Linked DNA regions of Coturnix japonica. Each later gene encodes a partner of the first gene's protein in a complex. Links are inferred from orthologs where the notes say so. Each region holds a gene or a part of one and is shown on either strand. Other genes may lie near its edges.

What was found. Proteins that work in one complex are often made in the same cells at the same time.
Region 2: RRN3 (region 1) and POLR2H share a complex: the UniProt entries of both Homo sapiens proteins name them as parts of the pol I pre-initiation complex. The link is inferred for Coturnix japonica from reciprocal best matches to the Homo sapiens genes RRN3 and POLR2H.

Annotation. Positions count from the first base shown.
Region 1 is NC_029529.1:43,934-50,031, reverse strand, and holds the start of RRN3 (RNA polymerase I-specific transcription initiation factor RRN3), read left to right. Parts: upstream 1-2,701; 5' UTR 2,702-2,759; coding exon 2,760-2,966; intron 2,967-3,355; coding exon 3,356-3,412; intron 3,413-4,519; coding exon 4,520-4,609; intron 4,610-4,694; coding exon 4,695-4,824; intron 4,825-5,291; coding exon 5,292-5,351; intron 5,352-6,098. UniProt on the Homo sapiens protein: Required for efficient transcription initiation by RNA polymerase I (Pol I). Required for the formation of the competent pre-initiation complex (PIC).
Region 2 is NC_029524.1:13,962,120-13,967,216, reverse strand, and holds POLR2H (DNA-directed RNA polymerases I, II, and III subunit RPABC3), read left to right. Parts: upstream 1-2,113; 5' UTR 2,114-2,177; coding exon 2,178-2,250; intron 2,251-2,359; coding exon 2,360-2,443; intron 2,444-2,520; coding exon 2,521-2,614; intron 2,615-2,739; coding exon 2,740-2,823; intron 2,824-2,939; coding exon 2,940-3,057; 3' UTR 3,058-3,458; downstream 3,459-5,097. Other genes in the region: THPO (thrombopoietin), read right to left, coding at 4,142-4,282, 4,364-4,543, 4,777-5,097. UniProt on the Homo sapiens protein: DNA-dependent RNA polymerase catalyzes the transcription of DNA into RNA using the four ribonucleoside triphosphates as substrates.

The sequences.
Region 1 (6,098 bases):
TTTACAAAATATTACCAAATTTACACATAGATGCAATTGAAATTAGAAGAAGCATGTATAAAAGATTAATATTAAAGGTAATGATACCTAAAACTCAAGTATGTGATAAATTTTTGTGTTCTTTTGTTTCTGCACTAACACGAAGAGTCTGAGATCACCACTGACAAATGCAGTAGACTTTGCATTTTTTAATGCATCATTGTTTTTATGCTGCACCTTACTGAATACTAAAGGTATATTTAACAGGTGAGTTTACTCAGAATACTGTGGCTGCACTTCCTTGTGCATCCACTAGATATCTTTCTATGCTCTCTTGAAAATTATTAGATTCACTTCTATATGTATTCTGTTTATTTAAATATTTTCCAAATGCTGTTAGTCTTTAAATAAGTTCATGTAGACACTAGACGTGAAAATCTATAATCTCTTTACTAAACAGAGAATTTAGGAGTTAGAGCTGTATCCTCCTTTTAGAGATCTGCAATGTGACACCACTGTTATTACAGTGGTCTGATTTAAAAAAAACAAAGCCCTCCTCCCTAAAACCTATATACTATGGTTTCAATGTCATTTCCAAGACAATTTTTCATTTCTCTGAAAATGTTATAGAGAAACCAACATGTTTTCATGTTCTGAAAAGTTATTTTTCCTGACTTCCCTGTAGCTTCAATTGTTAAACTGAGGTGAGTAGAGTAGCAGCTATAAATTAACCTAAAACTTGTGTGCAGCCATTCGCATACTAGCTCTGACAGTTTTCTCTAATTTAGTGTTGCAATTATAGTTATCAAAGTAAATTGAGTACAGCTTTAAGTTTACCGCAAATTACAATGAATCTTCTACCCAGTATCAGATACTTAGTGACTGTGATGGATGGTTGTTAGAATGCCATTTGGCTGCTGACATGTCACTCAAATTATATGAGGTTCAAATGTTTACAATTATGAATAGTATGTACAATTTAATTTTAAATATAGGAGCTGGCACATCAAAAAATAAAGACTGTGTTCTTCGTGGAGGAGTACCATGGTGTTACTAATGATGTATCTAAACAAGGAGGTAAAAAGTGCTTGCTGTGGAGCAGAGCTGTTATAAGCTATGGTATGGGCTGGTGGGTTTTGTTTTATTTTGTTTTTTAATATATAAAATAGTTACTTGTCATGCAGCCTATTGTTTGCATTCTGCATAATGAAGCTTAATACTAAATAGGAGCTGGCAACTCAATTGTTAGTAGCTAATCATTAACAGGTGTTTAGTACTATCTTAGTTTCCTGGTGTCCTTGTCAGCTGCTCAATGCAGCACAAAGTCCATGCAAGGAGCATTTACGTTGTTGACTGCAAAGAATTTGAACACACGTAGGAGTGTGTGTGGTTGCATGAACACAGCTTTATGTCTGTAGCTTGATTCCTTTAGACCTAAAGGACAGTCTGCACCCTTCAAATACAACTATAGTATCATAGTCTCGTGCGGGTTGGAAGGGACCTTAGAGATCATCGAGTCCAACCCCCGGGATTCGAGCCTCTGTGTAGCAGAGCGGCACTTCTACCACTTGCGCCACAGGGGTGATTTGAACCCAGGGCCTCCAGTATTGCAAGGCAGCATTCCTACCACTTGCGCCACCGGGGCACACCATGGTCTCCTATAACCGGGTTTCAGCTTTGTGTTGCTTATACATGAGTCTTTTGTAGCTGGCTAAGCTTTAACGCTTGCTCAAAAGGATACTTCCTTGTGTGACTACCAAAGGACCACATATCTCTCTAATTTATAACCATATTGCAGGGTTAAGTACTTGCTGTTAGGCTCTTTACACCTGTGCTGTAAATGTGGCTTATTATGGGAACATCTTATACAGGGAGAAATGAAATGAAAGTTACTAATGAATTTTCTAACAATCTCTGATGGGACTAATGGGTTCTCCAGGGGGGAAATCGTTGTGGAGGAGCTACTTGTTACAGAGGCGGCCAACCCAGAGGATCAGCAGATGCTACAGCTGGAGAAGGGCTGAGATCTTTTTGTTGCTGTAGCTGGTCTGTGTGAGCCAGGGAACTGTGAAGTATATGGCTGAACTGATGAAGGTTGGGAGCACACTGAACATTACTGAAGGATTATATAGGAAAATGTGTTTTCATTTGTACTTTTCTAAGTTGTTGTGTGAAAGTTGTTGAACGTTTTCATGTTTTTAAATTCCTTCTTAATTATGGTTATGTCCTGAAATATATTCACTTGGAGTGCATTGAGGAACTGGACGGCATCTGTTCATGCAGTGCTCAGTGGTGGGGGAGGAGAAGCCATTACTGCACTGGGACAGGAATGTGGATGCGGTGCTTTGTTGGGAGCGTTTGGAGAACGACAGCAAAAATGAAGTTTCCATGAGGTTTAACTGTCTCTCGGTGCTGGCAGGTGCTTGCTTCCCAGGTTCACATGCTTTTCTGTTCAGACGGCACTCAGCCCTCCTTCAGCAGACTCCATCCCAAGGATCGTGAGGATTCAATTGCGTTTTGTTCGTTTTCTCAGTAAAATGGCTACTCCAGCGTGGCGCTGAGGTCAAATCTGGAGTTAAGATTTCCGAGGAAGCTCTACAGCGCAGCGCCCGGCAGGGGAGCGCGGATAGCGGATAGCGCCCGCCTCGGTCCTCCTGCGCTGCCACCGCCGGGGGCAGTTCCTGCCTTTCCAGCCTCGCCTCTCTATGGTGCGAGAGGAGGAGCGGTCCCCGCTTCCGGTGGGGCCTGGCGCTCTTTTCTGCCGGGTGTGGCGCGTGGTGATGGCTGTGCCGCTGCCTGACTGTGCTGCCGCCCGCGGGACGAGGTGTAGCGCAGTGCGGGGGGGTGCAGGGACTGAGGTGGCTCCGCTTTTCTTCATGCGCGGGGCCGTGACCATGCTCGCGGGGGACGAGTTCATCAGCTCCCCGCCCAAGAAGACCGTGCGGTTCGGCGGCACACTGACAGACATTCTGCTCAAGTACGAACGGGTGAGTGTGTGGCGCGGGACCGGGGCCCACGTGGGCGACGTGTCCTGGTGAGAGCTGGAGCTGAGCTGCCCTGCCCTGTCCGAGGCTCTGGGCTGGTGCCGGGTGGTTCTGCTGTGCGAGCGGAAACTCCTCACAAGCCCGGGCTTGTGTGGAGCGGATGGGACGCCAATGTCTGCAGGGGTTGCTCCGCCTCTCGGACGCGTTCTGCCGCCGCTGCCTCACGTGCTTTGCCCTCGCGTTCTGTGCGTTGTGATTAAACGCTTTTCAGTTGTTGAGATATGTCAGTGAAACGTGGTGTTTTTTGTTGTTGTTGTTTATTTCTTGATGTATGTTTTTTAGTTCCTTTCTAGAAGCGTAACAAGCATCATTTATTTTTCTTCCCCGTGAAGGGTGAAACCACTGACTTTGAGCTGCTAAAGCATCAGCTGTCAGATCCTGACATAAAGGTAAGGTGATGGCATGGGGACACTCAGCTGTCCAAATGTCACTGCACAAGTTGTTTTGGTGCTTAAAAGCAAATCCTTTGCTTTAAATGCCGGATAACGTATAACTGCTTTTTACTTCATAGTAACTGTCAGAAGTAATGAAAAGCAGCTACTGTCTGTTTATGAGCAGATCTTATGTGCAGAATCCTGATAAGTGTTGTCTCATGCTTACTGACTTTGCTTTAGAGTGAGAAACTGTTTTTTGGTGAGATGTTTCTTCCAGACACCATTTTACTAGGTCAGTAGTGCCTGTCTCTACAGATTCCTTAATGTAGGTAAAACCACAACTGCTGACTGTCAGAACCTTTATGTTGTGAATTACTGCCTTTTTCAGCTCTCACTAAGAACTTAGTTAATTGAGCATTAAGATTCTTATGTATCTAGTTGTTACAAGTAGTAATTTCAGGGCTGTTCCTTACAGCTATTGATAGCTACTGTGTTTTTCTATTTCTTTTTTCCTTTTTGTAGTGTTTTAGTTAAACCACACAGTTGTTAGAAGGGTGCTGCAGGAAGCATAATGTTATCTAGATTTTCTTTTCCTTCTAAATAGAGTATTCTGTAAAATACACGTTTTTTTAGCAGATCTTGTGGGGAGAGCAAGCAAAATTAGTGTAAAAATTTCTCCGTATAATTGGTTCTGCTTCCAGATATTTCTTACTTGAATACTTGAATTTTCCTCTGCTTAAACTAAGAGCAAAACCAAAAGGAAAGTAAGATTCTAAGTAAAACAGATACATTGTTTGTGAATGAGGTTTGCATACCTTGCTCAGCTTGTTACATAAACTTCCCATGCAGGCTGTTGGTCGGCCTGTGTGTGTGTATTCTTGCGTTAAAGAATTTTCATTGGTGAGGGTGCAAGTTTAGTTCAAGAAATTTCTTCTGTGCTTGTATGAAAATAATTTTAATTTACAGTCTTAATCTTTGACTTGTGATTCTGTGGGTTTTGCTACTCAAAAAAATTCTATTGTTTTTGGTCATATTTTTATTAAAATAGATTTGTGATTTTTTTATTTTATTTTTTTTAAAATACATATATTATTCCTGTATATTATTCCTGCTTATATTAAGGATGCCCAGATCATTAACTGGCTGCATGAATTTCGAACTTCTGTCACATATCTGACCAAGGACTTCGAGCAACTGGTCAGCGTTTTGCTGGTAAATACTGATTTATTATATGGAAAGGTTAAGAGTTTAGTACTCAAAACATCTGTTTGACACCTTGGTCTTTACTTACTTTCAGAAGCTGCCATGGTTGAGAAGAAGCCGAGAGGTAGTGGAAGAATATCTGGGTTTTCTTGGCAATCTGGTGTCAGCACAAACTGTCCATCTTAGGCCATGCTTGAGCATGATTGTATCCCAGTTTGTTCCTTGTAAGTTTTTTTTTTCCCTCTTAATATTCTTAATTATTTCAAAATAATTATTTTGTATATGAGTTGTGTATGCAGAATTATACATCACAATCTAATTGTATATTTTCTATTGATTACTTTAACTTTAATGACTGGATTGCAGTACAAACCATTTTATGTACCTAGACTTCAGAAGATCTATTCTAATGGGTAACTAAAACTCTAAAGGCTGTTTATTTAAGATGTTTGGGAGGGGGAAGAACTGTGTAATGTTACAACTGAAAAAAAGAGTCTCTAATGGTGATCGTATGAGATGTTCTTAAGAACCTCCTGGTTTTCTGATTGAAACAGTTATTTCAGAAAGTCTTGTGGATAATTTTGATGTTTTAGTCACACTGAAGACTGTTGTCAGTGCACTTCCATTTAGCATTGGAATTGTTGCCTCATAAATTTGCACAGTATTCCAATAATGATCTCATTTTTGGTAGCTCGAATAACCATCAGAGAGGATGATGTGGACATTTCAGATTCTGATGATGATGAAGAAAGTGAGTATGGAAGGAAATATGGCTTACGAATGCTTTTGTAATGCTTTTACTATGTTGGTTTATTTTTGCTAAATTACTTTGCAGGAGTTGATATAAAACTTTAGTAGCTGTACATCCTTAAATTACAAAGTCAGGAATTTTTTTATACTTGAATCAATGGTGTTATGAGTTAATCCTCATTACTTGCAAAATACTGGTATTTACTGGTGCAGTATTTTTAAGATTCAAGCTGAATGTTCAGGAGAGCATTCTTAGTCCTAGATAGTGTCAAAGCCAAAGGATAGGGAGGAGTTGTCTGTTTTCATTTTACTTACTTCAATAAAACTGGTCTGTTTGGGAAATTCTTGAGGCTTTTTGTTGTCTGCTTGTGGTAAACTCAAATACAATTGATATAAATAATGAAAACTATGTGTTTATTGATTAGACAGATTGAATTCTTACAGGATAATTAACTATCTGCATCTTTGTATCTTGAATGCTGTATTGAATTTCAGCTTGGGTTGACATACCTATTCCTCTGGTGTTTGCTTGTGGCACTGTTTGGATTCAAGGGGAAAAAAAAATCATAGAATCACAGAATGGTTTGGGTTGGGAGGGACCTTTAAGATCATCTCATTTCAACCTCCCTGCTGTAGGCAGGGACACCTCCCTCTTGACCAGCTTGTTCAAAGCTCCATCCAGCTTGGCCTTGAATGCTTCCAGGTAGGGGGCACCCACAGTCTCTCTGGGCAACCTGTTCCAGTGTCT
Region 2 (5,097 bases), on another chromosome or scaffold:
CACAGGGATCGGGGTGCTGCCTCTGCTTCCAATTTAGCTGATCCCTGTCCTGACTGCTGCAGCTCTCTAATCTGTTTGTCTTCCAAAGCCATTAAGCTAATTTGGAGCCCTCCAAAGTCCCCCAGCTCTCATCCCAACCCAGCTCAGCCAGATTTGGTCAATGGGTCTGGGGGGAGGGAGCAGAATTGCTGAGTTTTGGGGGAAGAGGAGACCCGATGGGACCCAGCACCCCAGAGCTCCCCGAGACTCCAAGCGGGGCACAGAGGGCAGCAGGAAAGGGCACTCAGCCCCCCACCACCACGGGAATGGGGGCCGCAGCCTGCAGCCCAGGGCCACCCGCTGATAAGGGCCATCACGGGGACAGCCCAGCGTGATGACAGCTGCAGGAAGATGGCCCTGTCCCCCCTGCAGCACCGGCCGAGGTGTCACGGAAAAACAGACGTCAGCATCAGCACACAGGAATTTGGGGACAGGGCTGTGGGGCACAAGCCTTTCCCCAGGCCCCGCACTGCAGGGGCAGAGGACCACCACTTATCACATATTTTCCCCCCAAAGCTCATTTTTTCCCCTTCCTTCATCGCCCATCATGTCCTCAGCAGGGAGAGGAAGGGGCTAATCCCTGCCCAGGGCCTTGTCCCTCACTCAGGGTGATGCGGTGCTAATGAGGGGATGATCGGGTGGGCTGTGATGTTGCTCCGTGCCACCTCCATCATCTCCTCCTTACCCACATGGGTAATTGGCAGCCTGGTGACAGACAGACTCATTAACAGCTTAATTTTGGCTCGCTCTCTTCCTGCCCAACCCCAGCCTTAGGGGGGCCGCTCAGTGGGGGGATGTCAGCGCTGCACCCCATAGCACCGCAACATGGGGATGGTGCCACCCCATAGCACCGCAACATGGGGATGGTGCCACCCCATTGCCCGATGCCAGCCAGCTTCTCCCCAGGTCTGTTTGCTCCATAACGGCGGTGCCGCGGCTCCTTTGTGCCCGCAGATAAGAGGGGCCGCGGCCGCCTCTGAAGCACCGCTCCCACCCCCGAGCCGGGCAGGCTTTGGGGAGAGGGCAGGGATTTAGGGTGCAGGATTTGGGGCTGCCCAACCACCCAGGTGCCGCCGTGGCTCTGCCACCTGCTCTGCCTCTGTGTGCAGACCCCATCCCCATCAGCCCTTCACTCCAAAGCCACGGCCCCATCTCCATCACCATCCCCCCCATCAGAGAGCACTGGAGGCTGTGTTGGCCCCCCAATGCTGCCCCACCGGATGGAGGCCTGGCCGCCGTTCAAAGCCGTGCTCATGTTGTATAATTTATCAGTGAAAGATAACAGCCCCACGGCTAAACCTCCCCACCCACACACAGCCCGGCACTGTGAGCAATGGGACTCCCAGCCTGGGGAGAGCCCACATGGAGGGACCCCCGGTGTGTCCTACTGTATGCTGGGATGCTTTGGGGTGCACCAAGGCAGAGCTGTGCCCCCCCCCCCCCCAAAATCCCTTCATATATCCCGGCGCACCGGGGGCTGCAGAGCACCTGGGGACGGTCTGTGGGATCCGTGCAGGTTGGGGGCGGGCTGAGGGCTGGTGCTGTGTGCTCTGAGCGGCACCAGGTGCCGGATGGGCTTGTTTGGCTCCAGATAAGGAGGAGACGGCGGCACCGGGCAGGTGCTATAGTGTGGGGGCTGCCCACCCCAACCTCGGCTCCTCGACCCCGGAGGTGCGGGGCCGCCAACCCGGGTCCCTCCGTGTCCCTCCGTGTCCCTCCGTGTCCCTCTGTACCAGCGCATCCCTCCGCTCACACAGCCCGGCCGCATTGAGCCCTTTGGGGAGGGGGCTGGCGGTAGGAGCTGGGTGTCACCGGGGATGTGACACGGAGGGAAGGTGACGCTGTGGGGTGTGACACGGGTGGGCTGTGGGGTGACGCTGCTGCCCCCCGCCCAGCTCCGAGCTCCGTCCCGCCGTGGATCTGCCCCGACCCACGCGGTTCGATCCGCGGCCGCGCAGCGCCCCCTACCGCCCCCTGCGCTGCAGTGCGCCCCCCCAGCCTGCAGGGGGCGCTGCCGGCGGCGCTAGGACCGCGCGGGCACCTCTGCCCGCCCACCACGAATGAGGTTTCCGGATGTGGAAACACGTCATCACCGTGCGCCGCAGCGGGAGCCGGCGCGGGAGCGAAGGGGCGCCGCCATGGCCGGCATTCTGTTCGAGGACATCTTCGATGTGAAGGACATCGACCCCGAGGGGAAGAAGTTCGACCGTGGTGAGATACGACCCCCCCGCTCCCCGCCCCTTCCTCCCACCCGGGGCTCCGAGGGCCGGGCCGGGTGCGGCGGGCCCTTCCCGTTGACGCCCCGTCCCGGCCCGCTCAGTGTCCCGGCTGCACTGCGAGAGCGAGTCGTTCAAGATGGATCTGATCCTGGACGTCAACATCCAGATCTACCCCGTGGATCTCGGTACGGGACGGGCGGGGAGGGGGGGGGGGGCAGCTCCGGCTGTGCGCTCTGAGCGCTGCTTTGTTATCGCCTCCCAGGGGACAAGTTCCGTCTGGTCATTGCCAGCACCCTGTATGAGGATGGGACGTTGGATGATGGGGAGTACAACCCCACTGATGACCGGCCCTCCAGGTAACGTGGCTCGCAGTGGTGGGAGAGACCCCTCCTACAAGGGGCCTCCTCGCAGAGGATGCTCTGTTAGGGGATGTGGGAAGGATGGTCTGACGCTTCTCTCAGCTCCCCTCATGTCATTGCAGGGCGGACCAGTTTGAGTACGTGATGTATGGCAAGGTGTACAGGATTGAGGGGGATGAGACGTCCACAGAGGCAGCCACACGCCTGTGAGTGGCTGTTGAGAAGGGGACGCGTTGCCTGAGGGTGGTGGGGAGGCAGCGTTATCTTGACTGGGTCTCCTATGGGTTTCCCTGCTCTCACTGCTCCTCTCCTCCTGCCCCAGCTCTGCTTATGTGTCCTATGGGGGGCTGCTCATGCGCCTTCAGGGAGACGCAAACAATCTGCATGGGTTTGAAGTGGACTCCAGAGTTTACCTGCTGATGAAGAAGTTGGCCTTCTAGGAGATGATGCACCTCAGAGGGCTGCCTGCCCCCAGAGACATTCTGTTGGAGAGCAGAAAGGACACCATCACCCCAAATCCTGCCCCAGCACCTTTGCTGCCCAGTCCCTCCAGTGGTGGTGGAGGAGGGGACTTTCCCCCTTTGTCATCCCAGTCTTTTCTGACTGTTTCCCTTCTGTGCAGGGGCTGATGCCTCATTCTCAGTGGAGACCGTGGGTGCTCTGTGGCCCTGCCTGCTGATCTCACCTTCCTGCACTTCAAAAGCAGGCTTAGCCCCAGCTCTAACCAGGGGCCGCTGGACTGGGGCACTCACCTGTCTGTGCTAGGGCTGGGCATCATTTTCTAAGGAGCTGTTCTGAGACAGATGTGGCTTCTTAATTAAACTGCTATGTGTTTTCTAGATGTGGTTGTTGTGGCAAGGTTGGCTTCCCAGAATGCCGGTTGGTAGATGAAGATGGGATGCTCATGGAGGATGTTGTGGTAGCAGACAGCAAAGGTACCACATCAGGGGCACTGGCTTTCAAGCTGCAGCTCCTGGAGGGGCTTGGCCTAGTCTGAGTGATGCTGTGTGACCCCAGAGCTCAGCACAGTGAAATTGGCAGGTGGATACTGGAAGGCAAGGGGCATTATTATCTCACATCCCCAGCTGAGCCCACCTGCCCTGCAGAGATGGCAGCCACCACAGGAGGGAGCTGGACACTGGGAAAATCAGGAGCGTTTGTTCCCCAGCTATTGCCTCCCCCAGAGACTGGTGTATGCTCCTTAGGCCAGTGCTACAGCAGGGGGAACAGGAAGACACAAACAATCCTTTAGAAAAATAGGTCTTTAATTGTAAAGCATTCACAGTCTGATAGGAGCAGGGCATGTGCCTCGTGCTGCACAGGTATGGCTGCTTTTGACCTCTGTGGGCCGTGTGATAGCCAAAGGCTTGTGGAAAAGGAGCCAACCCTTTCCCCGTGGCACCTTCCTGGGCATCCAGAGCACGGCTCCTTCTCCTGTGGGATTGCTCTGACCTTTTATCAGTGTTAAATCCCGTGTACAGCTTCATCAGTCCCTGGACTGGAGGTCCCTGCTTCCCCCCGATCTCAGTCACACGAGTCCTTAGCCAGGTTGTGGAAGAAGAAGCGCAGCTTGCCCTGCACCAGCTGTCGGTAGGTGAGGAAGATCTCAGTGACTTCAGTCTGCTCAATGGAGCGAGGGGAGCAGCCTGGCTCCCAGGGCCCTTCCTGAGGGGCAAGAGTGAGATGGGGGGGTTACAGATGCTATCATGCCCAGCGGACACGTGCCCTGAAGTTGTCTTTACTCACACATGGAGGTCTCACCTCCCAGCCGAATGTCTGTAGGAGCAGGAGGAAGGAGTTGGCGTGTCGATAGAGCTGGCTCAGCTGCCCGGCCCCGCATTCCTGGCTCACCTGGCCCTGAGCCTCTGTCACAGCACCCACCAGCAGCACCAGGTTGCACAGGATCTCACGCCACTTGATCTCATCCTGTGGAGCAGTGTGTGTGCTGACCCCACTGGCACAGGGCTGCAGGCCCATCCTTCCCACGCCCACCCTTGATACGGATGGATCCTCCACCTTATCCCCACACAACGCTCCTGTGCTGCTGTTCCTACAAGCTTATTGTTCAGCTTGCTTGGTGACCATACCCCTCTGCTTACCCAGGGGCTCCCCCTCGAGTCCCACGGGCACCCCAGCACCATCCTCCCAGCCCCTCTCACCGATTTGCTTTTCCACTGTCGCATGTTGAAGTCCACCAAAGGCAGAACCACGGGGCAGCTGAGTGCAGGTAGTGCCTGGCACTCGCTCTGTTGGGGGAGAAGAGCTGCTGCAGTGAGATGCCAGGAGCTGTTCCCAGCTCTGTCTTGCCAGCGCAGCCTGGTTCTGGGTTTTGGGGGGCACTGCTTCCTCACCACTCTCTTCTCCATGTCCTTGGCCTCCCCGATGTACTTCTGGATAAGTCTCTTGTCGCAGACCGGTCCAATCGGCCTGGCATGGCCCTCTTTGACGTGCAGGAGGAAAGATGTGAGGAGCAGTAGTCC